2 linked regions of the Diceros bicornis minor genome follow. The protein of the gene in region 2 binds, or shares a complex with, the protein of the main gene of each other region. Links are inferred from orthologs where the notes say so. Each region holds a gene or a part of one and is shown on either strand. Other genes may lie near its edges.

Region 1 (14,875 bases), on a different chromosome or scaffold from region 2:
GAACACCCACGGCCTAAGGCAATGAGCTCGAGGCCCAGGTTGCCAGACTCTAGGCTGGACTGTGTTTGGCCTTTACAGCGGCCAGGAGAACCAAGGGCTTGCTGAGCAGATTGAGCACACACCGAGCAGGGTGGGGCCAGCACAGCATTCTCCAGAGTGGACCTGAGAGGGCCCGGCCCCCAAGCGCTAGGGCAGCTGCGCTCCAGCGTGGACCACGTGCTAGGCCCCAGGCCAGGACACTACCCCGCCCCTCTTGGGGTGGGGAGGCGATGAGGTGCAATGACACAGATAACAAGTACAGGCAGGCTGAGGGCCTCCGCCCAGCACTGCTGGACCCAGGGAGTACCCCAAGCTGGACCAAACCTGGGCCCTGGGGGAGGTTGGGGCTGGAGAAAGGAGGGGATCTTGTACCTGCAGGCCCCACCCCCTGACCCAGGTGAGCCTGCCTTGAAGCACACTGGCCAGGTCGTGGAGCTTGGCTGTGGCCTGCAGGAAAAGCTGGTGCTCCCTAGTCTGGTGTCCGGTGCTGCTGACCAGGCTAGGAGCCTTGGTTCTGGCAGCATCTCTGGCTGCTCCCCGTGCCCCCAGGCTGCGGTTGGGGGAGCAGAGCCAGCCTCCCGTCCAGTTACAATCTGAGGGGCTTTCTGTCCCCTGCAGCTGAATGCACTGCCGACTGAGCGGGGCTGTAGACTGAGTGGGCAGAGGTCTCTCCTTGGGTGGACACAGAGCTTTGTCTCCGAGGCCCTTGCTGGAGCCCGGACACCGGGAGGGGAGAGGGGACAGGGGAGGGCGCCCATGTGAGAGACTCGGGGAGTTCAGGCACCGGCAGGACGATGCCAGCAGGTGTTTTGCTTCTTCTCCTTCATCTAGCTTCTTAGCTGCAACAGAGAGATGGGTGCCAGTGGATGTCAGGGCCTTCCAGGTGGGGGCGGATTCTAGTGCTCCTCGAAGGTGGAAGCTTTGGAGAAGCCAGGTTTGAGGAGGGGCTTCTGAGCCCCCTAGCCTAATGCAGGAATAAGAAAGCCTGAGGTCCTGTGAGGTCTGAGGGGACGCGTGGCTGCATGGTCCAGCACTTTGCTCAAGGGAGCTGGCTGGACACCCTCTGGGAGGCGGGGAGGGAGGGAGCGAGCTTGGCCAGGGTGCCACGTGGCTTGCACGCATTTCAGAGCCTTCTAGGGAGGAGATGACGAGGAACAGAGATAGGGATGGGGGGCTACTGATCTGCCCCTCCAGGGTTGTACACAGGCGTCACATTACACCCAGTGTGTTTAGAGACAACCAGCTTGCATATGCCAGGGTGGAGCCCCATTCCCCAGATGCCTGTTTCCAAGGGACCCCCTCAGAGGGTGAGCCCTGGGGTGACCTTTGCAGCCCAGTCCCTAAGGGGGAGAAGAGATGATGCACTTGTGGCTTCTGGCTCCCTCACCGTCTCTCCTGCACCCCCTTGATCTGCCTGCACCCAGGTCTCCTGCCCCTGCTGTCCTGGGGCCCTGCATCCTCACTTGTATCTTTTGTCTCTTTTGTCGGGGCCGTTTGATCCCCACATGTCTCCTCGCCGTGTTCTCAGCTGGTCAGAGCTCAAGGGAGGGAGGCATGGTTAGAATTTGTCCCGTGAGTTGGAGTTAGGCACCACGTCTGGCTCTGCGACAGCCAGTGGCTGACCATCACAGCCTCCAAAAGGAACATAGCTCTGCCGGCACCTTCCTTTTAGACTTCTTACTTCCAGAACTGTAACATAATACCTTTGTGTCGTTTTAAGCCAGTAAGTTTGTGGTCATTTGTTACCGCAGCCATGGGAAACAGATGAGGTGACCCAGATGGACGTGCTCCCTGGCCGGCCTCCTGGGTGGCTGCAGAGGTGCTGCCTGGGCTGGATGAGGAGCGGCCCTGCTGGGCTGCCTCCCGATGCTTCCAGCAGCTCCTTCTTGGGACCGGTGTTGGGCTCTGTGATAATGCCCTGGCTGTGACTGACCCCTGGCACCTCAGACTGGACTCGGCCTGGGTATCCAGTTGGGCTTTGGCCACCATCCATTCCCTCCCAACCTCTGGCTCAGGCCTCCTGGCGCTGCTGCCCACCTGGCTTGTGGCCCCAGGGCTGGGTCCTGTACCTGCCACCACCCAGCTTCGTGACCTTGAGCCAGAGGCTCGAGTCTGGGCCACAGTGTCTCCTCGGTCAGGTGGGACCCTGGGTGCCAGGACAGTGAGCTTGCTGGGGTGCCTGGGAGGGGGCGGTGTTTTGGGATGGGGTGCCCAGCGGATGGGCTTCTCTGCCCCACATCAGGTCCTCCCCCTCATCAAAGCGCAACGTGCCTCCTCCTGTGCCCTCAGGCGGGGATGGGGGGGTGGTTAGAGTCCCAGTGAGGAGTCAGGGCTGTGCTTTCTGCTTCCCCAGGGGTGGGAGTGGGGGCCCAGCTGCTGGCAGGGCCCCGGGACCCCAGAGAAGAGGCTGTCGCCACAGCAGGGGCCCCAGGCCAGGGCAGGCCCCGCAGCCGGTGGCTTCACACTGAGCCTGCAGCCCAGCTGCCACCCGGTGCTGAGGGCCTTGAAAGAGTGTGTGTGTGTGTGTGGGGGGGGGGGGGGTGGCCTTGAAGGGCTTGAGGACAGGGGTCCAAGGAAGAATTCTGTGGATGCAGGTGATGGTACCCAATGTTTCTAAGGCGGGCGGGTGTGGCTAACGAGGTTTCTTTTGATGGTAAGGCACTCAGGTGGGGGTTTTCCATCCTTACGCGCGTGCGTACACACACACACACACCACACACACACACACACGGCACACAGGAGCTGGGGCCACTAGGGCCATGTTGATAGCAGTAGTTCACGTCGCTGGGCCCTTGCTCTCCACCAGGCATGGGCTGTGAAGTTCTCACTGCAGCCCTCAGGTAAGGCCCTTCTGCTCAGCCAATGGGGAATACCGCTGTGGGGAGGGGCTCACTGGGTCCTGGAGGAGGGTGTGGCCTAACATTTGATCCCAGGCAGCGTGACCCCCAGCTCTGCTCTTATCTGCTGTGCTGCAGTAGGGCTGTCTGTGTCTGTGAGTGTGTGCACGAGTGGGAGTACTGTGAGTGTGTGCATGTGCACGAGTGCGTGTGTGAGTGTGTGAAAATGCAAGTGACAGAGAGACCCAGGATAACTAGCTTCAACATGGCAGAAGTTTATTTCCTTCCCGGGTAAAGGAGTCCTGAGGTAGGCAGTGCAGGGCTGGTGTCATGGCTCCTGGTCATCAGCCGTCCAGGCCCCTTTCTCCATGCTGCCCTGCCATTCTCAGTGCGCAGCCTCATGGTGCAAGGTAGCTGCTGAGCTCCAGCTATCATTCCAGCCAGCCAAGGCGGGGCCTGCCCTGGCCTGGGGCCCCTGCTGTGGCGACAGCCTCTTCTCTGGGGTCCTGGGGCCCTGCCAGCAGCTGGGCCCCCCTCTCACCCCTGGGGAAGCAGAAAGCGCAGGAAAGGGAAGAAGAAAGACATGCCACCTCCACCTAAGGGATTTGCGTGCCCACTCCCAGCTAGGCCTCGAGGTTTCCATTAATAAGGAAAGGGGAGACTGGAGAGTGGGAGGCTACTCTGCCTGCGGGGGACACTTGACAGGCAGGAGAAGGCTCTGGGCCTCCCAACCCAGGGGATGTCAAGCTGGTGGGGCTCTAGGGGTCCTCTAAGCCTTGTTCTACTCTGATGGGGAAACTGAGGCCCAGGCCTTCTCCCTCCCATCCCAGGGCTCTATCTTCCCACCAGTCAAGAAGGCCAAGTGCCCAGCAGCCAATGGCACCAGCCCAGCCAGAGCAGACACTGGGGATCCTGCAGGTTCTTCTATGCAGTCCCTTCCCACTACCCCCCTCCTCTTCTCCTCAGGAACTCACAGGTCCATTCTGCCTCTCCCTGCACCCCCCAGACCCCCCTACTCCACGCCCACCAGGCTGAGCAGCTGGCTGGAAAGTCCTGTCTCAGCCTACCTTTCTGCCTCCCTCTCTTCTCTCCTTCTCTCCCAGCTGCCCTTCATTAACTAACGCCCCCACCCCTGCGGCCCCCCAGGGGCTTCCTCCATGGGCGGGAAGCCTCCCTCCCACAGTGGCCCCCCCACATGGGCTGGGAGGCAGATGTGCGCATCCTGGGAAAGGGCAAAGCTTGACCCAGGTGACAGCCGTGTGGATGGAGGTGATGCATTGGCGCGAAGCTGAGGAGAGAAGGGTGCGGGCTCCCCTGGCATACGATGAGACTTTTCTGGGGCTGCATGGACCCACCTGTGAGTGGCTGAGGCCTGGACCAGAGGCCCTCCTGCTGGCCATCTCACCCTGCAGGGCAGGGGGAAGAGGAGCCAAGAATGCTAGATGGGGAAATGCAGATGGGGCTGGGAGGAGCCAGTGCAGGCCCAATCATTAAAGACACTCCATGTTTATTCTCCAAAGATGGTGTTGGGGGTTTCAGGAGGGGAAGGCACTGGCCAGAGTGCTGACCAGCCAGGGTATAAGCTGGGCTGGGGACCCCACACCTGAATGGGGTCCCATTCAGGACCCCATTGCCTGAGGGCCGGCAAGGAGGCTGAGCAGGAGGGCAGTGGCCACAGCTGTGGGGCTACCCGGGGGGCCCCCTGCCCCACCACCCTGGGGGCTGCCTGCCCCCTTGTCCAGTGGGTCCTGCCAGGGTGGGACGTTGCACAGGGTGGACTGGCAGCAGGTCATAGTCATCAGGGTCTCCTCCACTGTCCTGTTGGTGGGTTGACACGTGTCGGCACACCACGCCGAGTAGGTGGTCAGGGGACCCAACTCTGGGGACGGGGAGTGGTGGAGAAAGGGTGCGTCTCACAGACGGCAGGGCAGGGACAGGCCCCTCACAGGGGTGTGTGCCTGTCCTGGCCCCGGGCATGGGTGATGGCCCTCGCAGCTGCCCCAGGGCGCCCGCTCACCGGTGCTCCCGTGGTAGATGAGGGTCTTGCAGAAGGTCTGGCTGAGGACGCAGCTCTGTGTCTGGTTGCAGAGCTCCTCGCTGTGCAGGGACTGGCAGGAGTAGCAGCGCAGCAGCCCTGGAGGCACGGCGGTGGGCTCAGGCCCGGCCACAGGCCAGAGCGCCTCCCCCTCCACCACGGAGCGGCCTCCAGCCTGTGCTGGTGTGGGCCTCTTCCCCTCCAAGTCTCCCGCAGTTCCTGTCCACCTCTCCCTTCTCAGCTGATCCCCCACAAAGCCTGCCCTGCTGGAGCCTCCCTGCGGCCTCCTCCTCAGGACTGGCCAGCCCACCTTCCCCTCCCTGCCCCAGACTGCTCATGTCACTCTGAACTGAGATTACCACCTAGGCCTTTGCATTCCTTCGCTGGTCTCTCCACCCTGGGGCTCTGCTGCACCCCTCTCTGCTTAGTGAACTCCTATTCAACCTCTCCACCCTGGCACCCTTGCCCCTTCCAGGAGTGGCTCCTTCTGTAGGCTCCCTGCTCTGGATGGCAGTGGAGGGTCCTGGTCAGAGTGAGAGGTGAGGGGTGTGCTGAGTGTCAGGGTTCCTCCTCATCCCCTCCCCTGCCCTGCTGAGAGGCAGGCTCACAGGCGAGGCCTCTGCCTGTCGGTTCCCCATCACACCAGCACCACACAGGGTGTTGAAAAGAGGGACGGGTGCCCGCTGTCTGGGGCCAGACGGAGGGTACCTCTGCCCCTGCTCTCTGCAGTCATGCTGGCCTCTTCATCCTCCTCGTCCTCGTCGTCCTCGTAGCCCTCCGGGCCAAAGTCCGAGTCTTCATCCTCCTCGTCCTGCGCCCGCCCTCTCCCTGGCCGTGCAGGAACGCCTGTAAACCTCCGCTACCCGGGTACAGAGGACACACGCTCGGGGCCCCGTGCGCGCCCCCAGCCCCTCGCTTTGTCCTCTCCCCACCCCTCCGTCCTCTTCCTCCCCACTCTGTCCTCCCGCCGCCTCCCAAGCTGGTGAGGTCCCTGTCTGGCCCTGGCCCTGCTCACTCACCCGGGCGCAGCCTAGCATTGTCCTTACCAACAACACCAGCGGCTGTGGACGGCCCTTTACAGCAGCTGCACCCCCCCCCGCCCCCCCGCCGCCCAGTAAACCTTCAGGATGGCCTGCCCATTTTACAGCAGAGGAAATTGAGGCTGGGAGAGGAGGGGGAATCTCAAAGCCCGCATTTCAAAGATGCCGAGCAGGGAGCCTGGCTGTCGGGGGGCTGCAGAGGTTTGGGGGTCTGTGGGAGCCCAGGACAACCCCCTCCACCTGCCTCTGGCCTTGGACGCCAGCCTCACCCACTCCTTTTCCCCCAAGCTGTGTCTTGCCCCCAGGCTGGGGGTCCCTGGGGGTCCCCACGGGCCTAGACTATGCTGTCCCCTTCACTGCAGGGTCTCCCTTAGCCCTTAGTACCTGGCTGCCGGCACAACAGCAGGGCAAACAGGACAGCCGTGAGCGCCTTCATCCTGCTGGGGCCGCCGGGGCTGCCCGCTCGGGTCCTTGCTTGGCTCTGGGTCTGTGGGAAGTGGGACAAGATGCATTGCCCGGGGCTTCCTTGAGGCCCTGGCCCCCCCAGCTCCAGCCTCAAACAATGGGTCTCACACTGGTCCCCGCGCCAGGCACCAGGCCAGGGATGGCCACTTCCCTCCCTGACTTCAGGGGCCCCAGAGGGAGGGGAAGTCATTGTGGTCGGCCTTGGGGCATCCTGTCCACCTGTGCCGCCCGCCCCCTCCGCCCCCGGCCTGGCTCGCCGGCCTTGGTGCCTCAGCCCCGTGGTGCGGGCTGGTGGGCCTCGCCCTGGGCCGGGGCTGTGCCTGACAGCCCCCTGTCCCACGTCTGGACCCTGTGGGACCCAGGCCCAGGCCGCACAGCCGCAGGAGCTTGGCGTCGCAGGCCCTCCAGCTGCAGGCCGCCCACCGGGCACCTTCAACCCTGTGTCAGCTTCACCCGTAGTCCAGGGCTTCTTAAGAGTATTTTAAATAAAAGCCCAATAAACATCCTCCCCCGACTCCTCCCCTCTCCCCCAGCAGCGCACTGGTTCCCTGGCTGCCTGGCTGCCCTCGCTCCCACCTCAGGCCTTTGTCCTCGCTGTTTCCTCCCCCTGGAATGCTGTGCCTGCCGATGTCCATGCTGCCTGTCCCCTCACCTGCTCAGATGTCACCTCCTCAGAGAGGCCTCCCTGCCGTCACTCATCTCATGGCCTGTCTTTCCCTCGTGTTTGCTCCCTGACCAGGGGGCACCCCTGCCCTGGGGAACGCTCTCTGTGCCAGGCTGTCCAGGGCTGGTGGGAGCTGGGAGCAGCCAGCAGCTGGCCTCCCTCACCCGCCCGCCCACCCTCTGCCTGTGGCTCCTGTGTGAGAGGCCTGGGCTGCTCAGGCCAGCTTGGCAGCCTCCTGGCTGTGTCCCTGGGTGCACCCCTTCCTCTTCTGAGGGCCATAGACTGTGGAAATGGGGATGCTGGAAGCCCTGTCCCCCACTCCGGCAGCCAAAGTCACTTTCCAGCTGGAGTCTCATCCAGTCCGGAGTCCGGGCCCTAGACCTGCCCTCTTCACTCCTCAGACTGTGTCCACGGCAGCCCCCAGTCAACCCAGCTTCCTCCTACAGGCCTTTCCATCTGGGGTCACAGGAGCTGCTCCCAGGAAGGGCCCCACAGGGTTCCCAGAACTGGTAGGGAGCAGGGGTCTCCACCTGCCGCCTGCCCCTCCCCAAGCCCAGCTCCTCCTCGGCCCAGGTGCCAGCTGCCCAGCCCAGGCCAGAGCTTGTTGTCAGAATCACCTAGGGATATTAATAGCCCGGTTTAGTTCACTAATTAAAATTCAGTGTAATTGATACCAGCCCTCAACAACTCTGGGAGGTGGGGTGTTTCCATCACTGCTGTACTGACCACCACTGCCCCCTCCCCCCACCACACCCCAGGCTGCACGCTCACCACCCCGCTCTGCGACCTCGCCACCCCCCCTTCCACAGCCTTGTCACGCCCCCTCCATGGGCTCACTGCCCTGCTCCTGCGGCCTCACCATTCCCTTCCACTGCCTGCAGGCACTGCTCCCTCTTCCCCAGGAAAGGAGCTGGGGTCTGGTCCAACCCATGCAGACGCAGCCACATGGCTAGGCCAAAGTTGGTGGTCGCAGGTGTGATTGAGGCCCGGTGAGGCTGGGGAGCTTGGCCTCCCGCCCCGACACCTTGACAACAGATACCTGGTCTCACCGCGGCCCCCAGCCCTCAGGTTGAGGGGGTTGTGTATGCCCACCCCTCTCCCCACCCAGGCCTCTTCAGACGTTCTGGTCCAAAAACATGCCTGCTGGTGGCACCTCTCTGACCCCAGGCTTCCAGAACAAGGGCATGCCCTGCAGACCCCCCAGGTCGGGGCGTGGCTCCCTCAGAGCCCCCAGGGCCAGGGCTGAGGTCTGGTGGCCCGTGGGTGGCACAGGCCCACTTTAGAGCCTGCGTCCTGAACAGCCTCTGCCCTGGGCTCGGCGCACTCCTGGGCCAGGGCTGTCTCCCTCAGCCATGCCCACACGCAGAGATGCCCTTCTAGGGCAGCCCGGGGGCCCCAGCTCCCTGCCCGCCTACCCCTGCGCAGCGTGGGCCTGGCCTTGCCTGCTCTGTCGCGCTCGGCCAGGCTGGCTCCTGTGGGTGGCCCGGTGGACCCTGCTGGGTTGGCTCCCCTCCCCCAGGCCTGGCCTCCCTCCGCCGAGTGAGTGGTGTGGGTCACCTTGCTCTTCCTGGCAGCAGCCGTGGGCTCAGACCTCGGTGTCAGTCGTGGACAGGGCACGCCGGCCATCCACACTCCCTCCCGCCCTGGCAGGGGGCAGAAGGTGGGGGTGGGGGACCACAGGCCCTGTTCTCCTTGGGAAGCTGTGTGGCCCTGTCCTGGGCTCTGAGCCCCTACTCTGTCCCCCTCCCCACCCTGTGTTGGCCTCTGGGGTCACCAGGTGAATTAGACCCAGAACAGGGGAAGAGAGGACAATGTTTCTGACCAACAGGCAAAGGTCTGGTGTCTGTGGGGTCAGGAAAGGCATTCGCCCTGCCTGGTAGTACACAGGCATGGGGGCAGATGTGGGCTGCAGAGGTGCTGGCCCTCACGCCCATCTCCCCTGCTCAGGGCTCCTTCCCACCCTCTCTGCCTCTGGGAACAGAGGGAGGGCCTTCCTCCTTAGAGCAGAGTCCAGACCCTCCTTCCAGTGTGGGCAGGGTGCCATGAGGGCTCTTTCTTGGGGTCTCTGCTTCTGATGGCCCCAGAGTGACCAGCCAGGCAGGTCACTCCCGGGGTTTGTAATGAGGATGAGGCCCCTTTCTTCCCTGGAATCCAGCACCGAGGAACAGTCATGGTGGGGGGCGGGGCAGCCAGAGGGAACAGGGTCCCAGTCGTCTTGGAGGGCCCAGTGCCCTGCACTCCAGTCACGCCCAGGACCTGTGAGGAAACACCTCAGGGTCTCAGAAGCTCAATTCCTTCAGGCATGCAGGCCCACATTATTCATCTGTCCAGCCTGCCCTCCCACTCTGGCCTCCCCACTCCCTTCCACATGTCCACACCCCAGGAATACTCAGGGTTCATTTTCTCTAGTCCTCGCACACCCTCGGCCCCATCCACACCAACCCTGGGGAGTCTCACCTTCCCTTGCCCCACCAAGCCCCACTGGCGGAGGGTGATTGAAGATCCCTGGTGTCCAGCACCAGCCCAGCAGTGCTGCCCCTGCTCCTGCATTCTCAGCAGACTACCTTGCCCCTACTCCTCTGCGAAGCTCCCAGCCTTCCACCTCTAGACTGGCACCCTGCCCACCCTGTGCCCGGTATCACCCCCCCACCCTTGTCCCGATGCCCCCTCTTCTCCTGCGGCCCCCTTGGAAGTGCGGGCCCTGGCCCCGGCATCTTTCTCCTCTCCTGGGCTTGCAGCTCCCCTCTCTTCTTTCTACTAGTTCCTCTTCTTTTTTTTTTTTCAACTTTTTTATTGTGATAAAATACACATAATATGAATTTGCCATCTTAACCATTTTTAAGCGTACAGTTCAGTGACATTAATTACATTCACATTGTTGTGTGACTGCCACCGCCACCCATCTCCAGAACTCTTTCATCTTCCCAAACTGAAACCCTATCCCCATCAAACACTAACTCCTCCTCCCCCCAGCCCCTGGCACCCACCATTCTACTTTCTGTCTCTGAATTTGACTGCTCTGGGTCCCTCATATAAGTGGACTCATACAGTATTTGTCCTTTTGCGACTGGCTTATCTCACTCAGCATAATGTGTTCAAGGTTCATCCAGGTTGTATCATGTGACAGGATTTCCTTCCTTTTTAAGGCTGAAGAATATTCTATTGTGTGAATGGACCACATTCTGTTTATCTGTCCATCCCTTGGTGGGCACTTGGCTTGCTTCCGCCTTTTGGCCGTTGTGAACACTGGTGCTGTGAACATGGTGTACAGAGATCTCTGCAAAACCCTGCCCTCACTTCCTTTGGGTCTACACCCAGAAGCAGCTTTGCTGGATCATATGGTGATTCTCTGATTAATTTTTGGACTGGTTCCTCTCCTTCTGCATGTAAACACACCCAAGTGTCTCTCATTAAAACAATTATTAGAAACAAACCCCTGAAAAGCCCTCTCTTTCCTTAATTTTCTACCCAACCTCCCTCCTCACTCCTTCCTTATACAGCTCTTGATGGCACCGCTGGTGACATCTCCACGTGCCAGGAGCTGAACTCTCATCAGTCACCCATCTGACACTGCCACTCACCCCAGGCTTTCTACATGGAACACAGCCCAGAGCATCCCAGAGGCTGTCCTCCCCACCCCTGACCCCGCCCACTCCCTGATCCCACCCACTCAGGCTGTCCTCCCCACTCCTGACCCCGCCCACTCCCTGATCCCACCCACTCAGGCTGTCCTCCCCACTCCTGACCACGCCCACTCCCTGATCCCACCCACTCAGGCTGTCCTCCCCACTCCTGACCACGCCCACTCCCTGGCCCCCCCAGGCTGTCCTCCCCACCCCTGACCCCGCCCACCCCCTGCCCCCCCCCGCTGTCCTCCCCCCCTGACCCCGCCCACTCCCTGCCCCCCCCCCCCCCCCCCCCGGCTGTCCTCCCCGCCCCTGACCTCGAACACCCAGGTGCCCCTCCTTTCGCCTGGAGCACTGAAGGGACACGAGACGGCACCACCCTCTCCAGAGACCTTCCGCAGGCCCCGCCACCGTGGCCATCCTCCTGCTGAGGGGTTCCAGGCTTGGCCTCTCAGCTTCTGGGGCCCCAGTCTTTCGTATTGCCACTCCCCTTCGGAAAGTGCACGGGCGAGGGGCATTGTGCATGTCCTTTATTTTATCGCATTAGAAATCGATCTCCCTCACACTGACCTGTTAAAAAAACTCTGAAAATAATTATGCGGGATTCTCTGCGGCCGTATAACAGAATGGAGATGCTTTTTGTGTCTGAATCAGAAGAATATCACACGGATAAAGCAGGGGCTGGAGAGAGTGCACACGCGCTGCTCTTTGTACGAAAAGGGAGGAAACGGAGTCTGTGTTCAGCAGACTTTGCGCTCTGCACGGTCTCAGCTCTACAGGGTGCCGCCTTCCGCCCAAGCCGCCCCCCACCCCCCCAAAGAGGCCCTGCAAGGAAAGATGCTGATGGCGAGCTGAGCGCGGGCTTGGGCTCTGCACGTGGTGGTGCGGGGTCACTTAGGTCAAATATGGCGCCTGGGGCAGCACAGGATTTCCCCTCCCTGGGCGATGGGCTGGGCCCTGGTTGTTGCTCAGGCCCTCCTGGCAGCAGCGCGTCTGCGGGCCCATGTGGAGCAGGCGACCCGCGTCCTGGGGACGTCCCACTTGGACTCCTGGCAAGTGTGGTGGCAGAACTTCAGGTGCAGGGTCTTCGCCCAGCAGTCCCGCTGGAGGGGGGCAGGGTAGGGGGTGAGGTTAGATCCCTGGGGGGAGTGGGGAGGAGGCGATGGAGAAGCCAGGGGGAGTGCTAGAGTGTGGTGGGTGGTCTGGGCGGGGTCCCAGCTCTGCTACCTCTTTAAGTTTCCCCAGAGTCGATGTGACTGTGATCATCCTCTGGGGGTGTGAGGGGTGCAGCCACCTTGGATGGCTTCTCCCCGTCGCTCCTGTGGGACCTGGGGTCTAGGATGAGAGGGGGCCAGGAGCCGGCTCTCTCACTCCTCTGGGGAGGTGTGTGCATCTCCCCATGTGTGGATGAGGAATGGTAAATAAATGACAAGCAATAGGATGTATTGGAGGATATGAGGAAGCCATGTGGTTTAAAACTAATTCGGCCTGACCTTGTTTTTCCAAAAGGGCCTGACATGGCATGTTGAGCACGCACTGTACATCTGCTCTAAATATCTACTATGTCCCAGAGACAAGGATGATGCTCCTAAAGATAGGGATGTAGCTTCCTCCCATATGGGCATTTCTTTGAGGATAAACATTTCTTCCTGGAAACTAAGGATTAATTACCGACCTGCTGTGCTCACCTTGTGACCACTGACCTGCTGACCACCGACCTGCTGTGCCCGCTGAGCATCTCGTGACAACTGTAAAAGAGACATTCCTGTCATATGTGATGTATGCTCTTTGTTCCAAGACGGAACATAACCAGTCTATACACCCTACTTCTTTGGTGCCCTTCCTTCCTTTGGGAAGGAAGGCCCCAGGCTGCACCTCAGATCTGGCTCATAATAAACTTACCGCAATTTTGATTTATAGATTGACTATGGATTATTTGCATCGACAGGAATCTGTGACTCAAGGATGATGGGAATCGCCCAGGTCCTGAGCTCAGGAATGGGATGTGACTAGGGGCACAACTCGAAATACAGGGCCCTGTCCACTGCCCAAGGAGCTCGCTGAGTGGGGGCCTGTGGTTCCCAGATCCCGTGGGGTTGGGGATGGGGCAGGGGACTCTCTGGGTGTTGGGAGGAAGGACACAGAGAGCCCTGGGGGGAAGTGGCACTCACCCAGGGAGCTGCTCCTCCAGAGAGATGCCGTGGGTCTTGTGGCACAGGGCTCTCTCATGCAGTCACTCAGGAGGCAGGGACAGGAGAGGACACAGGCCAGTCCCTCTGACCTCCCAGCCCAGGCGAGATCCCACCTCTGTGCTCTTGCCACGTGGTGCCTCCCTCTGGACTGCCCCCAACCCCATCTGGTGCCTGTTCTCATTCTGAGCTCTTAGGACCCTGGAGAGAAATGGAGGTCTGGGATTCAAACCCAGGTTTGCCTGACTCAAGACTCAGAAGCTCGTGTTAGAATGGGCCCTGGGAGGGTGAGATGAGGAGCCACAGGTGAGGCCAGCAGGCCTGGCAGGGTCCCCACAGGATCTTGTCTGGGTGGGCTTGGGAGAGGGGTGGTAAGAGGCCCAGACCCCCACCCCTACCCCATCTCTCCAGGGGTGGCCTCCTGACCTTCCCAGCCCCTGCTCCACCTCAGCCTCCCTGGGCCTGACTCACCAAGCTCCACACCCCGCAGGGCAGGCAGCACAGCCCTCAGGAGCACGGTCTTCACGTCTCAGCCCCAGCTCGAGGCTCTGGACTCTCGGCTCTAGAGGTAGGTCTGGGGTCTCCAGAGGGTGGAGTTCCAGAAAGCTGAGGCTGAGACCCATGGTGAGGGCTGGCGCTGGGCTTTTGCCAGACCACACAGGCTTCTGCTTTTTGTAGTAGCAGCAGCGCCGGGCTGTCAGCTGCACCTCAGCCCTGCAGGTCTATGTGGCTCTGCTCCCTGCTCTGTCCCGGTGCACAGAGTGCAGGAGTTGTGAGTGAATTGTTTTCTTGGAGTGTTGACGCTCTAAATCAGGCTTTACCTACAGAGGAGGACATGGGCTGAGAGGGGTGTGGCCTGCCTGGCTGAGGCGGCAAGGGCTTGATCTGCTCGCCGCAAGGCAAAAGCCAATCAGTCAAGAGGCGGGGGTGGTAGAGAAGGAACTTCATTAAGCCATGAGCTAGCTGATCAGAAGATGGCGCATATCGTGCTAAAAATGCCATCTTAAAGGGGAACTGCTTTGGAAACGACTTATACAAGGCCAGTGGGGTTTGGGAGGGGGCTCAGGAACATCAGGTGATGGATGCCTACAGACTGTCGGGCACCTCTCTGTTGACAAAAGTTTCAGATCTGCTGAATGTGACATATCCTGTGGAATCTAAGAAAACGAGTTATTTCCTCATCTGAGACAGAAGGAACAGTTCTGGGCAGGCATCATACATTTTCTTGCTAACAAGTTATTCTTTCTACCGGTTACTGATTAGGTTGCCTGGGTGCAGTTCTAAGCGTTTCTAAAAGTATCCTGTGAGGGTGAGATGGAGGTCAGGGAAAGTTCAAAACATGGAGTCCTGCATGTCAGTATGGGGACTCAGTCTCATCAGGACCAGGGAGCCCTGGGCTGGGAGGGTGCCTCCATCTCCAACTGCCAGCGAGCGTCCGTGGCAAGGGCTGCCCCTCCCTGCCCCCATTTCTGGTTACCTAGAGGACAAGGTTGACAATATTTTCCTTGTAGGATTTGAGGGCATTTCAGATGGAGTTATGGCGTGAAAAGGGTCAGCCCGTGGCAAGGAGAGGCTCAGAGAAATGAGAAGGGAGGTTCGGGGAGGTTCCCAGTGCGATCTGCCTCCGTCTTCACACTGGGAGACGGGATGACCACAGCCTCCCACAGTGGATGGCTGTGTGGGTCAGATTAATACGCAAAGCAGTTGGCATGGGGCCTGGTGTGTCACCCCCAGGTGACAGGTCTGGGTGCAGGAATGGCTGTCCTGTTACTGAACTGGAAGTGGATTTGCTCACCCATCAGGCAGCAAGTCAAGCTCTGATGCCGAGTGTAGTGGAAGAAAGTAGGAATTTTATCGCAAAGTGCAGAGCAAGGAGAATGGGCAGCTAACGCTGTAATCCCGAACTCCCTGAAAAGCTCCAAGCAAGGGTTTTTATTTGGGGTTTTAGGTAGGGGAGGGGTAGCATGTGGCCTTGGGGGC
Region 2 (14,529 bases):
AGAAAGAGAACTTTGGCCCATTTTTTGACTCTCTGGACAATAAATCTAAATGTTGCTAAATCTTCCCAGGGTATTTGCAGGCAGTACATATAACATCATAGTGAACACTTGAAGTAAATTCTTTTGCAAATAAAATCACTGTTTTACAAAGCAAACACAGTCAAAGGGAAGTTATATTAGGGGAAATTATTTAATTTCTTGTCAAGTAAAAAAATCCAAAAAATCTATCTATTCCCCTTAGAAAGGTAATAACTTATAGATTTTAGATTTCACTATTTAAAACTTTCAGAAGAGAAATGACTGAGGTTGCTTAAAAATACTTCTAATTTCTTAATCTAAAATAATTAAAGAGAGTAATTTCTTACTCTCTTTTCACAACTCAAAAGTTGAAAATATGTAATTTCAAATAACATTGCAAAAGTCAGGCCAAAAATAAAAATAAGAATGATACAGTACTGTGAAAGTACAGGAGAACAAGGCTTATATAATTATCTGAGAACTGACCAACAATTTTCTTTTTAATTATTTTCCAAAATTCCTTAAACAGTATTGTGGTTACTTGTTAAGTGATTCATTATACGCAACAAGTTGATCACACACACAAATCTCCAGCACTTAAACATTCTAAGATAATTTATCCAAATAAGACACTATGGTTAACTACTGATATTTAAAGTTTTTTTCATTTCCATAAAGTAAAATTGCACTTGAAATCTATTTGTCCATCAAGAATACTGTTCTGCCTCTCATCTTATTTGAAGATGTAGGGCTTCCTTTTCTTTCGTAAGCAGAAAGTACTCTGGTGGCCTTATTATTTATCTGATAGTAGAAAAAAATACTGTAGATTTTTAATCTGATTCTGCTTTCAATGCCCAAGAAGTTCTGTTATTATTAGAAAGTGCTTTAGAAAATTTAAAACTAAATTAGTTTCACCCTCTCTCATGTCTCTCCACATCAAAGAACTCATGCCTCCTCTCTAACAATCTTATTTTAACACGTTCAATTAGCAATCTTTTTAAAGCAGAAATAATCTGAACAGCCTGGCACACAGATCTTGCCTACTACCTATCTGCCAAATCGGTATTTAAGACTATTGCCTTGCACAACTCCAAAGGATGCCATTCACTTTTAGTCTATTTTTCCCTAGAATTATGCAACACTGTGGCCCTGGCGTTGCTGATGGCTTTGAAATGACTAAGAATATTCTTTGAAATTATTAAGACTGGTTTGTATATTTACACACACACGCAAAGTTTATTCAATCCATAGATCCTGTATCAGATTATCTGTATAGCTCATTGAGAGCTCCAATTCCCCACAACCAACATTTTCTGTTGGGTACATGGCTTGTAAAGAAAAAATAACAGGAAATTCACACATTCTCAAGCAAATTTGTATTTGGAGACTTTTATTTCATTTTTAAAGAAAATTATTATTTTTTTTTTTTTCTTTTTTATTTTTATTTTATTTTTTTTTTTTTGTGAGGAGATCAGCCCTGAGCTAACATCCGCCAATCCTCCTCCTTTTTGCTGAGGAAGACGGCCCTGGGCTAACATGGGTGCCCATCTTCCTCCACTTTATATGGGACGCCGCCACAGCATGGCTTACCAAGCAGTGCGTCGGTGCGCGCCCGGGATCCGAACCAGCGAACCCCGGGCCGCCGCAGCGGAGCGCGCGCACTTAACCGCTTGCGCCACCGGGCCGGCCCCTAAAGAAAATTATTTTTCATTTTAAGTTACAGAAAGCATAATGAAGCCTTTGACAGGATAACAGTACCACTCTATATGCTATGATGTTTTCAATTCTATGTCAGTTCTATATCTGAAATCATACATGTTATTGGTGCATAGTCTTTCCTTCTCTTTGGTGTTCTGATGGGAATTTTCACACTTCTGGTGTTTGCAACCCCTCAAGGATGTCTCAGCATCCTAAAGATGAATGTGCTTCCCGAACCTCTATCAGCCCTCACACGAGTGACTTAGCCATGTAGAGACGGGGAGATAGATGGACCTGACTGTGGGTCAGTCAGTAAGTTTGTGTGTCCCAGTATACACTGAGATTGCTCCTGGCTTGAGGATGAACTCATTTGACTCCATTGTTAGTGACTCTGCACTTACCCTTTTAAGGGGATATGGATCTTTTACCCACTGCCCTTAGAAATTAAAGCCACCTTATAATAATGAAAAAAAAAGTGCCTAAGATGTATTCCTTCTAAAGGATTTTTACCTTGAATTTGGCTTATCAAGAACCACCACGCCAACCTGGCCCCATTGGACATATCCTTATTAAACACTAAGACAAGATTTTGGGGCACCAGGCAAGTTACACGTTAATGGATTTCTCGATTATGTAATCTTTATTCCTAAATAAATAGCTAAAAATCTAAGTGTGTGAAGAAAGACAAGGAACTTATCTTAATGTGAGTAATAACTCACAGAGATGAAATTAGCCTGAGAAATCAAAGCACTTTAAAAGTAAATTTATGGAGAGTACATAATTGTAGCTAGAAAAGGAGAAGCATTGAGCATCCCAGGAAATATACTCTAAAGGCAGTTCACAGTCATCAGATGAATAAGATTAACATTTATATGAAGACATGAGGTACAAAAGCTCAATTATAATGCAATTCTCTTTGAAGTTTCTACTTCCTTCCTCTCTCCTTCCCTCCGTCCCTCTCTTTCTCTCTCGCTTCCTCTATTTCCCTCTCTCTCTCACACACACACAAACACACTCCTAAGAGACTTCATCAGTAATTTATCTCCTCTCTGAGACTGATGACCATAGTTATTGGCTCAGGCAGCTTTTGCAGAATGACAAAAAACAAGTTGAATATTTTGCTATATGACTGAATTGATTGGTCCTTTCACATATTTCAATTTAGACAATGCTCTTGACTTACCTAACAGTTTCATTTTTATAGAAAAAAATGTTTCTAAACATAGAGGCAGTATACTATTGTGGGAGATCAAAAATTGGCCACCCTGAAATATGTCTCTTTACCTTGACTATTTTCTCTGATGGACATTAGACCTCCCCCACTAACTACCTAAAGGAATTTAACTCTGGGTATGGACAGACTGGCAGGGTCCTCGCTAAGCCCATTCTTTTCAAAGTTCTGTTTACCAAATACTTACATTTGTAAAGGTATCTCCCTCTGTGTACTGGGAAGAGGGGGAGATGGCCTTATCTGTAGAAACTGTTATCAGTACGGAAGGGGAGGACTTAAATCTACATACTCTTGATTACTGTGATTTCTGTCTCTCGGACACATTCTCTACAGGTGGCCCTATAAAGAACTGTCTGACGAACATTTACGTTTCCCTCTCCATGTAAATTGTCTTCTTCCCCTCTGAAATTCCAAACCATTACCTCCCCCAACATCCTCCTTTGTCTTTAGCTGAAGATAATATTTAACATGAGAATCTCTGCCATTTTGTTGAGAAACTCAGTTTCCCTGGTTTCTCCCATGTATCCACATTATTAAACTTGGTATTATTTTCTCCTGCTAACCTGTCTTTTAATTATCTGGCCAGCCATAAGAACCTTAAGGGAAAGGGTTGAGGGGGATTCTCTGTCTTCCCCGACACTATATAGCCCAATTTCTCCTCCCAGAATAAAGCGAAAAAGGAGGGCTGAGCTAAAAATACACTGCCTGAAAGAAAGTGACAATTTTCCATTGTAACTGTTCCCCAGTGCTTGACTCCCACCTTTCAATACAGCTATTAATCAATCATTCTCTTGCTGAGCTCTGCTCCATTCACAAATGGTATCTGCTATTTTGCTGTCATCACTCATTATATTATAACTCAGATGTTAGCCTGGAAATTCACTGCGGCCAGTCAAATGGAACTGCAGCTACTGGGCACTGGCTCATGCTCCTCTCCTAGCTCTTCAAGTTTCCTAATGAGGCCATGCAGAGACTGTGGTGGCTCCAAGAACAAAGAGCCTGAGGGCAGTGCCTTATATCCTTATGTTCTTCTTAGAAAGAAATCGAGAATGAATAAGTCAGAGCCCAGAGGAGGAGCTGCTTACCATTCCCTCACACTTGTGCCTTTCTGCTCTGAAATTCTTACATTCCTAGATGAATGCATTTGGAGGAGAAAAGGGGCAGAAAGTCGCAGTGATGAGAGAGGCATGCTATAAGGGGGGAGTAGGGGTGAAGTGAGAGTGGGAGGGAAAAGATGAGAGGGATTAATTTCAAGTCTACTTAAAAATGTTTCCTCCTTGAATACATTTACAACAAGGAAAAGCTTAAAATCCAATTTAATTCATTAATTAATCCAATTTAATTCGTTAATCACTTAAGGGTCCATTTAAATCAAAGAGTAAGAATTGGAGGGGCCTAAGAGAACTTTCAGTTTGGTCCAAACTCCTCATTTAGATTTGAGGCAGCTAAACCAGAAAGGTGACACTGATGAGCCCAGGCATTGAAGGTCGTGACTCTCTAAGAGAGCCTAGCAAAAACTTAAACCGTGGATGACACATATTTGTGTGTGTTTTATGGTAAAGGTAACATTGTCCTGTGGTGTACTTTCTGAAATAAGAATTCGTAGCCTGTTTCTACCCTCTTCTTGGACAGTGTTACACACTATTGAGGGGACCATGCCACTACGAAAGACGTTTCAGACTCTCTAATTGAACCTCCAGTATTCTCAAACTGAACTAAGAGAAAAGATATTTGTCTTTTTACCCAGTTCAGCTTTGATGGAATCAATATTTTTTTTAACCTAACAAAACTGTTCTTTCACAAGTCAGTACTGAAATAAAAGAAACTCTCAGCTGCAACGTCTTGGGCAAACTCAACCATAACTAGAATCACTGAGGACTTGGCCCCTGAAAGCACATCCAAGCAACTGCGCCCTAAGTGCAATTCCACCTTATGACTTGCTTCAGTTGCCTTTTTAGTTGCTGTTGTGTGTTAGCTGAGCGAAGGTTCACGTTACGCAGGATGCCTCTATTGTGGACAGGTCTGAGCCTGGACGCTCGTCTTCCTTGCAATAAAGAAATTCACTCTGGCCTCGAAGGTCTGAACCCTGGCGAGCCGGTGGGGCCCGGCAGTCACTGGGGTTCAGTCCGCGGCCTCCCCACGGCGCCCACAAGGCCCATGTGTTCGCGACCGCACGTGGGGCTGGGCGGCCGGAAGGCGCGGTTCAGCTCAGAGGGCAGTGAGGGCGGCCAAGTGCAAACCTGGCAGTCCTCAAGTCAGCGACAGAAGACTGCTGGTCGCTGCGCCATGTTTTCAGAAGGGTCAACCCTTCGCTAGGTTTTCTGGGCGCGAAGAAAAGCCGAGCGTGCAAGAGTGGAAGCTTGGAGAGCTTCCTCGGCGCCCGAGCGAGTGCAGGATCCTGCGTCCCCAGGACTCTGCGCCACGCGTCCCTCGTTCCCCACCCCGACTTCGACGCGGAGAGCGAGTGCGTCCTGTGCTTCTAAGACGCGGATGATGCCTTCCCCCCGCCCCGGGCCGGCTTCTCCAGGAGAAGGAGCTCTCTCTGCCAGAGTTCCCACAGGCGGAGGCTGAGCCGCGGCCAAGTCAGGGTCACCTTGGCCCGCGTGCCTTTCATTCCAGCCTTTCCCCCCTGCCTTCTCCGAGTGGGGAGGTTACTGCGGGTCACCGCCAACTGAGCCCTCCCTCTCTCCTCCCTCGTCCCGCCCTTCCCAGCTGAGCCCCGGCGCCCGGGAACTCGGCCTCAGCTAGAGTGGAGGGCAGAGCGTGGGAACCGGGGGAGAGAAAAAGCGGGAACTGGGAACCGCCCCAGAGAGATCGGAGGGAGAATTCTCTCCCTGCCGCTCCGGAAACCCACCCCAGTGACCTTTCTCGGGGCCGGCGCTCGGGCTAAGAGACTCTTCGATGAGCATCCGCAACCCCTACCGACGTCGTCCTTCCCATCCTCACAACCTGTGGAGGTTGCCACTGAGCAGAGTCTGCAGATGGAGAGGAGTCTGCGCGCAAAACTTACTGTCGGCGGCGGCCACCCTTCCGCGGGAGGCGATCAGACTCTGGAGCCACACGCCCAGAGCCACCAGGATCAGTGCTTTGCTCTCCATCTCGGGGCACGTCCTTCTGTAGGAGCTACACAACACCGTCGGGAGCGTGGACAGACTGACTGATGAACCGGCTGAGCCCGAGGCAGGAGCGGGCTGGAGCCGCGCTCCGGCGTGGGGCAAGTCGCTCTTCAGAGCGGAGGGCAGAGCTGCTAGAAGTGGCAGGTTTCCTCAGAGGAGGAGGAGGAGGAATTGAGTCTGACACTGTTTCCACAGCACAGCTGCTTATGTGACTGGAAATATGCAAATAAACCTCATCACCTATTGGCTATAAAATCATAAGTTGAGGGGAGGGCCGTAAATTCACTTCCAAATATTTGAGCAAACTGTAATTCCGATTAATCCTGCCAGAGAGAAGAGGGGGAAAGGGCACAAGGGAAAATTTGCTTTCTCTGTGAACTTACTATTTGCTTTTCTTAAGGGGTCTGGCTCTCTGAATCCCCCTGTACAAGCACCAAACACAGGTTTATATGGATTTCTGTTAAATACTCTGCAATCACCAGTTTTCTGAGGAGGGCAAGTTAAGCTGTTAAACTACATTTGGTCAATACTTAAACCCATTCCTATGTGATAGATCCTGTTTGTAACTTGCAGTGTTATTTTTCCCCCAAATTCTCCTAGACAATGTCACTTTAAGGACCACAGGCAGACACTGTTGTTCAGCTTGTGCTTGCACAATCTGGTATTTAACACTGGACCATGGATTAGCGTATTCGGTGGAGAAAAGCCTTCTTGCTCTAATTCCTAATTTTTGCCTGGTGCAAATTATACCCAATCCTAAAACACATCAAGGAATGTAGGGATAGCATTTTATCCTCAGAGGCAGAATATTGAGGTCAAATAATCTAAAACTATATTGTTATGGTAAGTGAAAGAAGCCAGTCACAAAAGACATATTTTATGATTCCATTTATATAAAATATCCACAAATTGGCAAATCTCAGAGACAGAAAGTAGATTAGTGGTTGCCTGGAGCTAGAGAATAGAGAAGGAGGAGAATGGAGAAGTTATGGGGGGATGGTGATGAAAATGTTCTAAAATTAGGTTATGGTGATGGTTGTACAACTGGATAAATATACTAAAATACACTTTAAATGGTTAACTTTATGGTGTGTAAGTTATATCTTAATAAAGTATTAAAAACATGTATTGAGGTATGCAAGTAGAATAATAATAAGAATAATGAAATCACATTGGATATTGTATTTTTTTTCCCAAATCCTCAGAATGCTTTCAAATTATCTTTTTAAACATAAAAGATTTACATTAGCCAAGGAGGACAATTAACTCTATACTCTCCAATTTACATCTGAGAACAGACTCATAAATCTTTTGATTTATTGGATTATTTCGCTGAATATCTTTAATGCTTCCTTCTACTCATCCTTCCCTCTCTCTTTCTCTATCTCTCACACACACAATCTACATTTGTATGTTAGGAGATTGAAAGGCCATACAATTTAAACTAGGCTCACATTTTAAGTTTTTCTCAAAAATGAAATACACCTGTTAATACCCAAATAATTCAGTCTGTTATTCTGTAGAATAGAATTCTGTCTTAAAGTTGGTGCATTAAATGCCACAACACAATATACAGTCTTGTATTGCAATTATTAAATACATTGTGCACATTCATTGTATCTTACATAGCATGTAGAGGAATTTTAAAACTTGCCAAGAATTAACCCCCTCAGAAAAACTTTAGAAGTGGTAGAGCAGACCATGCAGGGGATGAGTAACTACAACGTGGCAGTCTCCCAAAAATTATATAGTAAATTCTAATTTTAAAAAATGACACAAGATGAATACAATTGCATTGCATGTGCTCAAAACATAGATGATAAACAAAAGTACCTACTATCTTGTATAGAATACTTATGCAGCCTAGTTTTACACATAAATATCATTTACTAAGACAACCAAACAAACTTGCACTTCTGTGCCTCCCAGAGAACTGCAAGAAGATTTTACGTGATTGCTCAAAGGGTGTTTGATGTGCATAATGTATGTTTAAAATGATTCCTCAGGTTAACACATAACAAAACCAAAGCAATCAAAAGTTAGGGTAATTCTTTTTTTTTTTCATTTGAAACCCGTTTTGTAGTGGCTTGTCCTGTTACACTGCATGTCATTAGAGTTGCAGAGATTTCCAGGAAGAATTAACTCGTAGCAGCTTAGCCTGATAGAAAAGCAGACAAGTTGCCTCCAATCCCAGAGACAAGTGGCAAGTGGGTGTGATGGCAGTGCGCTCTCCTGATTGGCTGCTCTCAGAGTGATCAGCTGCCTGTGCTCTCCTGCAGAGACTCACAGGATCTCCAAGTCCTGACTGCGTGTGCGTTCGCAAAGTGCCTGGTCCAAACTTCAGCAACGCTGTTTGATCACTGATAGCTTGAGGAATGACTTTTTCCATAATTGACCTTCCCTTTGCAACAGTCCTAAGAAGCTTCACATTAAAAGAAGCTAAGCCTTTTATAAATATTTAACAACCCAGCGCTCTTTTGGCAGGACACTTGCTCCTGGTATAAATTTAGTATGATGTAAGTAAAAAGTTAAATGGGCATACCTGAAGAGATGACCAGAAACTCCAAAACTCCACATGTAGGGAAGTTCGATCGATCGATCGATCGATCGATCTACCTACCTACCTATCTATCTATCAATCATCTATCTATCATTTTGAATGAGGGCCTGCTATTTGCACACACTGGACATTTTTCAACCCTTTCTGCATTTAATCATTACAAAAACACCCCAAACTTAATAATATTCCTTTTGTACAGATGAGGGAAGATGAAACTCAAGGAAAACTAAATAACAGTAACCACATATCATAAAGCATTTTTTCCTTTGGCGATCCCAAGAAAGAAGGAAAATGTATTTGATATGTTATATTTTAATGGTACTGTAATTTCAAACCAGAAAAGACTGGGAAACAGATGTTTTTGTAGATGTGTAGTTTAATGCACATTTTATTTTGTGGCTTTTTTGCTAAATTAAAATATGATGAAATGTCTAAGTGGGCTCTAGAAGAGCATCAGTACTGAAGTGGATCTGGTCTCCATCACAAAAATTATATTTAATGCAGAAAAGAAAGCATGGCTAATACAAATAAAATTTACAAATACGAAATCATAAATATAAAAAGTATTTAAAAATCTATTGACTTTTGATAAGAAAAAAACAAAACAAAGGTGTATACTAAAAATTGCCATAAAAGACTTTTTTGCCGCTATCCACCCATATCCCAGCAGTAAATTGTAGGCAGGGAGGAGCACAAGCTGCCTCTGAACAGAGACGGTGAGTGACAGTGAGGGTGACAATGAGGTTGAAGTTAAAGGTCTGGGATCTGGTGCCTGATGCTGGAGCTCTCCTACCCAGCAGCTGACAAGTGGAGATGCTGGTATTTTATTCATTACCTACCAATGCTATGCTCAAGAAGTTCCAAGTAGCAATTCAAGGGCAGATTAAATTTAGACAGAATATAGCTCTCCATTGGTAAAGTTGAGTGTTGTGTTCTATAAAGTTGAAGTACAAATAAATATTATATTTAGCCAATTTGCTACTATTGCCTTCCTCCACCAGGTATGAATACAGGGATCAGGCTGACTTTCTTTGCTTTGAGGGTGAAGGAAATGTGGGGTGTGGAAAGAATTGCTTCAGATGGTAAAAGTGTGGTATTAAATAATCCAGATACATTTTAAGGATTTTAATTTCCTTTAGTTGGGGATATTCATTCCCTCCCCTCTCCCAAAAACAAAACAAAAAACAAAGAGAAATAAAGAAATCATATTTTAATATCTGCATTAAAAGATTGTCTAAATAGGACCTGGCCTGGTGACACAGCGGTTACGTGCACTCAATCCACTTTGGTGGCCCGGGGTTCGCAGGTTCAGATCCCAGATGCACCGCTTGTCAAGCCATGCTGTGGTGGCGTCCCATATAAAGTAGAGGAAGATGGGCATGGATGTTAACTCAGGGGCAGTCTTCCTCAGCAAAAAGAGGAGGACTGGCATAGGATGTTAGCTCAGGGCTGATATTCCTCACAAAAAAAAACAAAAAACAAAAAAAACACGATTGTCTAAATAAAATTAAGAAGAGAAATAAAAGCTAATTTTAAAAAAGAGAATAATAATAATAATAATAAAAAAACCCCAATGAATTACAATGCCATGTCCTCGAACAAGGGTTTGTGGTGAGGGAGACATGTCAGAACACACCAGAGAGACACATGCTGTCACAGACAAACTGCAACAGGCTGAAGGGGAGAAGGATGTAGGCCTTTCATAGAGGACAGCTCACAAAACCTAAAAACAATATCCCACAAATAACACACTGGATTTATAATCTATGTTCATTTATAGGTAGGCTTTCTTTCCGTTTCTAAAATAAAACCAAAAGACCCCCCAAAACTTAAAAACTTAAGTCCATGAAGGAAATCAAAGGAGACTTTCTATGAGACCTAGTTAATTACTTAAATATGCAAGACTGCAAATGTTTTTCCCTGAGGGCTTCACGTTTTGAGATAACTTCAGACAAAACATCAAAGCCCTAGGCTAAAAATGAGCTGAGCTGGACTCAGCACGGATGTGTCTGAAGTGCCCCCTGCTGACTTCCTGGTGATACTGTAACATCTCAAAAAAGCCATTTTAAGAGGCTTGAAACAGAATTGACTCAGGTAATCACTAAGCTCTTGTATTTGAGTTTTTCTTGTTTCTTTTGTTGTTATATGTAATGTGAAGGAAGGTATTACTCTTCTCTCCTCTGTGGTACTTCCCACAGCATCAAACTGTGCTGGGAAGTGAGGAGGCACTTAGTTGATAGCTGTTGGGTCAATTAATAATTTCAAGTAAAAGATGATCCAATGCTAAATGGGTGAGAAAGCAAGATTATTTTAATTTTAAATTTTCACTAGATTTAGTAATCATGAAACTTGAACACAGACCACAAACAAATACACATGTGCATGTGCACACACACATACATCCTCCTTGCCATAATCTAGTCTAGTCAGGCCAAATCTATCTGGGATAGGGAAATGAAGGACAGCTTCATTTGGCTGGGGCTTTTTGCTGGTCTCTTATTATTTCTCTTCTTCCTTTCAATTAACTCTTTATAAAAAAGTAATATACTCTTGGGGCAGGACCGTGGCCTAGTGGTTAAATTCGGCATGCTCTGCTTTGGCGGCCTGCGTTGGGTTCCCTGGTGCGGACATACATCACTCTTCAGTGACCATGCTGTGGCGGTGACCTACATACAAAATAGAGGAAGATTGGCACAGATGTTAGAAGTTGGCACAGATTCACCAGGGTGAATCTTCCTCAACAACAACAACAACAAAAAAGTGATGTAATCTTGACCAAAATAAAACCACAAAATACAAAATTTCAAGCAGTACATAGTGTATGCAAGCAAAAAAAAGTCTTTCTCTGACTTCAGTTTCCAATCCTCTAATCTTTCTCCAGAAGCATCTAGTTCCCTTTCTCGTGTATTTTTCCGGAAAAGTCTATGCATTTACAAGCATATATGTGTTTGTAAATATGTGCATATGTGTGTGTATATTCATCCTCATATTCACAGCTTAGTTTTTACAGTAATCTCAGCATACCATAGACACTGTTCTGCAATTATTTTTTCCTCTAGTAATGTGACTTAGAGATGAGCTTATGCAGAGATGCCCCTTTTTTTCTTTCTTTTTATGGCCATGTAAGTTTCTCTTATGTGGTGGTACGATCATTTACTAAACTAGACATCTACTAATAGTTACTTAGGTCTTTTGGTAATATAAACCATGCTATAATGAACAAACACAGATTCTTTGAGATTATTGAATCAAAATGTATGAATATTTATCATTTTAGTAAGTAAAGTCATCCTCTAATGAAAGTGTCAAATTTATATTCTTGTCTATAATGTAGGGGAGTAGAGTGATTGTGGACATTGTGGCCGTTATTGTGTATTACTGAACTAGTTAATCTCTACCATCCTGGAAGATGAAAATGGTCTTTTGTTTTAATTTTCATTTTAAATAGTAATAGATGTCAGCATCACGGTGGAGTTTTTCCCTTTGTCTCTCCCCTCTAAGTTACAACTAGTTGGACATCCATTGACCTACAGAGGATTCTCTATACAGCACAACAGGACACATAAGAGATCCAGGCTTCTATACAACTGAAGGTGGGTGGACTGGACCGCCAGGAGGTAGTGGATCTAGGGGAGCAACCCCCTCCCCCTCCCCTGGCAGCAGCAATCCAGGGCATGGATCCCCACACTAGTCTGCATGCCTGTAAGAAAAAAGATCAGAGTACTCCCTGCTCTTCTCCCTGAGGAATTAGACTGTGCACTGGTGAGCAGTCCTGGCAGAGGCACAGAGAGGGCAGGTTTGATCCCTACCCATCTACCAGTAGATCCAACATGCATGCCCCCTCCCCCTGCTGCAGCAGTGGCCAGGTCCTTCCAGCAGTGGAGATAGTATATAAAACTCAGATTTCCTCAGCTGGGATGGGGCACTCTGACCTGAGTTTTAAAAACACACCAGCTAGCACTAAAGACCAGAGGCTGCACAGCAAGCAACAACAAAAACCTTGACCTGCTTAGCCCCTGCTCCCCCCTGGTGGTGGCAGGTGGAACCTGTGACCAGAGGCTTCAGGAACCACAGCAGAACTGGTGACCCAGCCCCCAGTGGCAGCATCCCTAACACCAGCTCCACCAACAGCAGGGGCTGAGCACAGTTTCCCAAATACCTTGGCCCCTGGTAGTGACAGTGACACCCATGAACCCAACACCCCTGGCTGCAGTACAGCCAGCACTCCCAGACACCCAGGAACAATGGCACAGGTGGTGCAAGGTGCAGCAGAATCCCAGCCCATGGAGAGTCAGTGGAGGAACACAGGACCAAGGAGACCCTGGAAGCAGTAGAAGTGCTCACAGCCTGGCAACTGCAGTGGTGACACTTGAGGTTAAAGCAAAGGCACCAGCAGCCCCAGAGGCACAAGCAGCACAAGGAGGCACTGACACACCATGGCAGAGGCAATGGAGACAAGAAAGTGTAGGCTCTCAAATACAACCAGAAGCAGCACAGAACCAAAGTAACAAAAGCCATACCCAAATAAGAAAGTTGGTTACTACCACAAATGTGCCAGCAGAAGATCAATTCACTAAACACCAAGAGGAACTACAATAACATTGCAAAACAGAAGGAGAAGGACAGCTCTCTCAAAACCGAATTTGAAGTCACAGAAGATTACAATCTGACAAAGACTTCACAATAGCTGTCATAAAGAAACTCAGTGAGCTACAAGAATACTCAGAAAGACAGTTCAATGAGCTCAGGAATGAAGTGAACAGAAGGAGAACTTCACCAAGGAGATTGAAACTCTAAAAAAAAAAAAAAAAAAAAAAAAAAAAAAAAAACCCAGAAATTCTGGAGATGAAGAACACAATAAGTGAGATGAAAAATAATGTAGAAAGCATTAAAAATAGACCATACCATGTGGAAGAGAGAATTAGTGAGCTCAAGGATAGAAACCTAAATGAGTCAGGGGGAGGAGGAGAGGGAAGTAAGATTTAAGAAAAATGAGGAAATTCTTTGAGAAATATCCAACTCACTTAGGAAAAGTAACATAAGCATTGTAGGTATTCCAGAAGGAGAAGAGAGAGAACGAAGTAGAGAGCTTATTCAAAGAAGTAATAGTTGAGAACTTCCCAAACCTGGACAAGGAATGGACATGCAAGTACATGAAAATAATAGAACTCCTAATTACCTCAATGCAAAAAGACCTTCTCCAAGGCAGATAATAGTAAAACTGTCAAAAGTCAATGATAAAGAAAAAATATTAAGGGCAGCAAGAGAGACAAAAATAACTTACAAAGAAACCTCCATCAGTCTTTCAGCAGGTTTCCCAGCAGAAACCCTGCAGGCTAGGAGAGATGGAATGATATATTCAAAACCCTGAAAGTTACAAACTATCAACCAAAAATACTCTATCCAATGAAGTTATCCTTCAGAAATGATGGAGAAATAAAAGCTTTCCCAGACAGACAAAAGCTAAGGGAGTTCATTGCCACTAGACCTGCTTTACAAAAAAATGTTGAAAGGAGCCTTCCTATCTGAAACCAAAAAGCAAAATTTTGCAAAACCTTAAGAATGAGATAAATAGATAAACAGAATCAGAAAATTACTGCTCTGTATCAGAATAGGTGAGTAAACACTTAATTATAACATAAAATATAAAGGGAAATAAAGCATCAAAAATAACTATAGCTAATACAATTAGCTCACAAACTCACAACACAAAAAAAGGAAGAATATGTGAAAACAAAAACATAGAATGGGAAGGGGAAAGGGACAGAGCCTGCATAGGCTAGTGGAGATAAGAGGTTATCAGAAAAGAGACTATTTCATCTATGGGATCTCTTATATGAACCTCATGGTAACCACAAAACAAAAAATCAGAGCAGAGTCACAAAGCATAAACAAAGAGAAAATTG

What was found.
Region 1: the proteins of LPL (region 2) and GPIHBP1 are in contact, whole or in part, in a crystal structure (PDB 6OAU), measured with the Homo sapiens proteins. The link is inferred for Diceros bicornis minor from reciprocal best matches to the Homo sapiens genes LPL and GPIHBP1. Residues at the interface, in NP_000228.1 of Homo sapiens: Tyr367, Gly368, Thr369, Ala371, Glu372, Glu374, Leu403, Met404, Lys406, Lys430, Lys440, Ile443, Cys445, Ser446, Arg447, Glu448, Val463, Lys464, Cys465, His466, Asp467, Ser469; in NP_835466.2 of Homo sapiens: Cys68, Lys69, Ser70, Leu92, Ala94, His95, Gly96, Asn97, Thr98, Glu99, Ser100, Leu103, Thr104, Thr105, Ser107, Trp109, Cys110, Thr111, Asp112, Ile117, Lys119, Val121, Glu122, Thr124, Val126, Met128.

Annotation. Positions count from the first base shown.
Region 1 is NC_080760.1:55,939,144-55,954,018, reverse strand, and holds GPIHBP1 (glycosylphosphatidylinositol-anchored high density lipoprotein-binding protein 1), read right to left. Parts: upstream 6,388-14,875; coding exon 6,336-6,387; intron 5,740-6,335; coding exon 5,620-5,739; intron 5,011-5,619; coding exon 4,894-5,010; intron 4,756-4,893; coding exon 4,496-4,755; downstream 1-4,495.
Region 2 is NC_080750.1:73,708,118-73,722,646, forward strand, and holds the start of LPL (lipoprotein lipase), read right to left. Parts: upstream 6,210-14,529; 5' UTR 6,046-6,209; coding exon 5,958-6,045; intron 1-5,957. UniProt on the Homo sapiens protein: Key enzyme in triglyceride metabolism.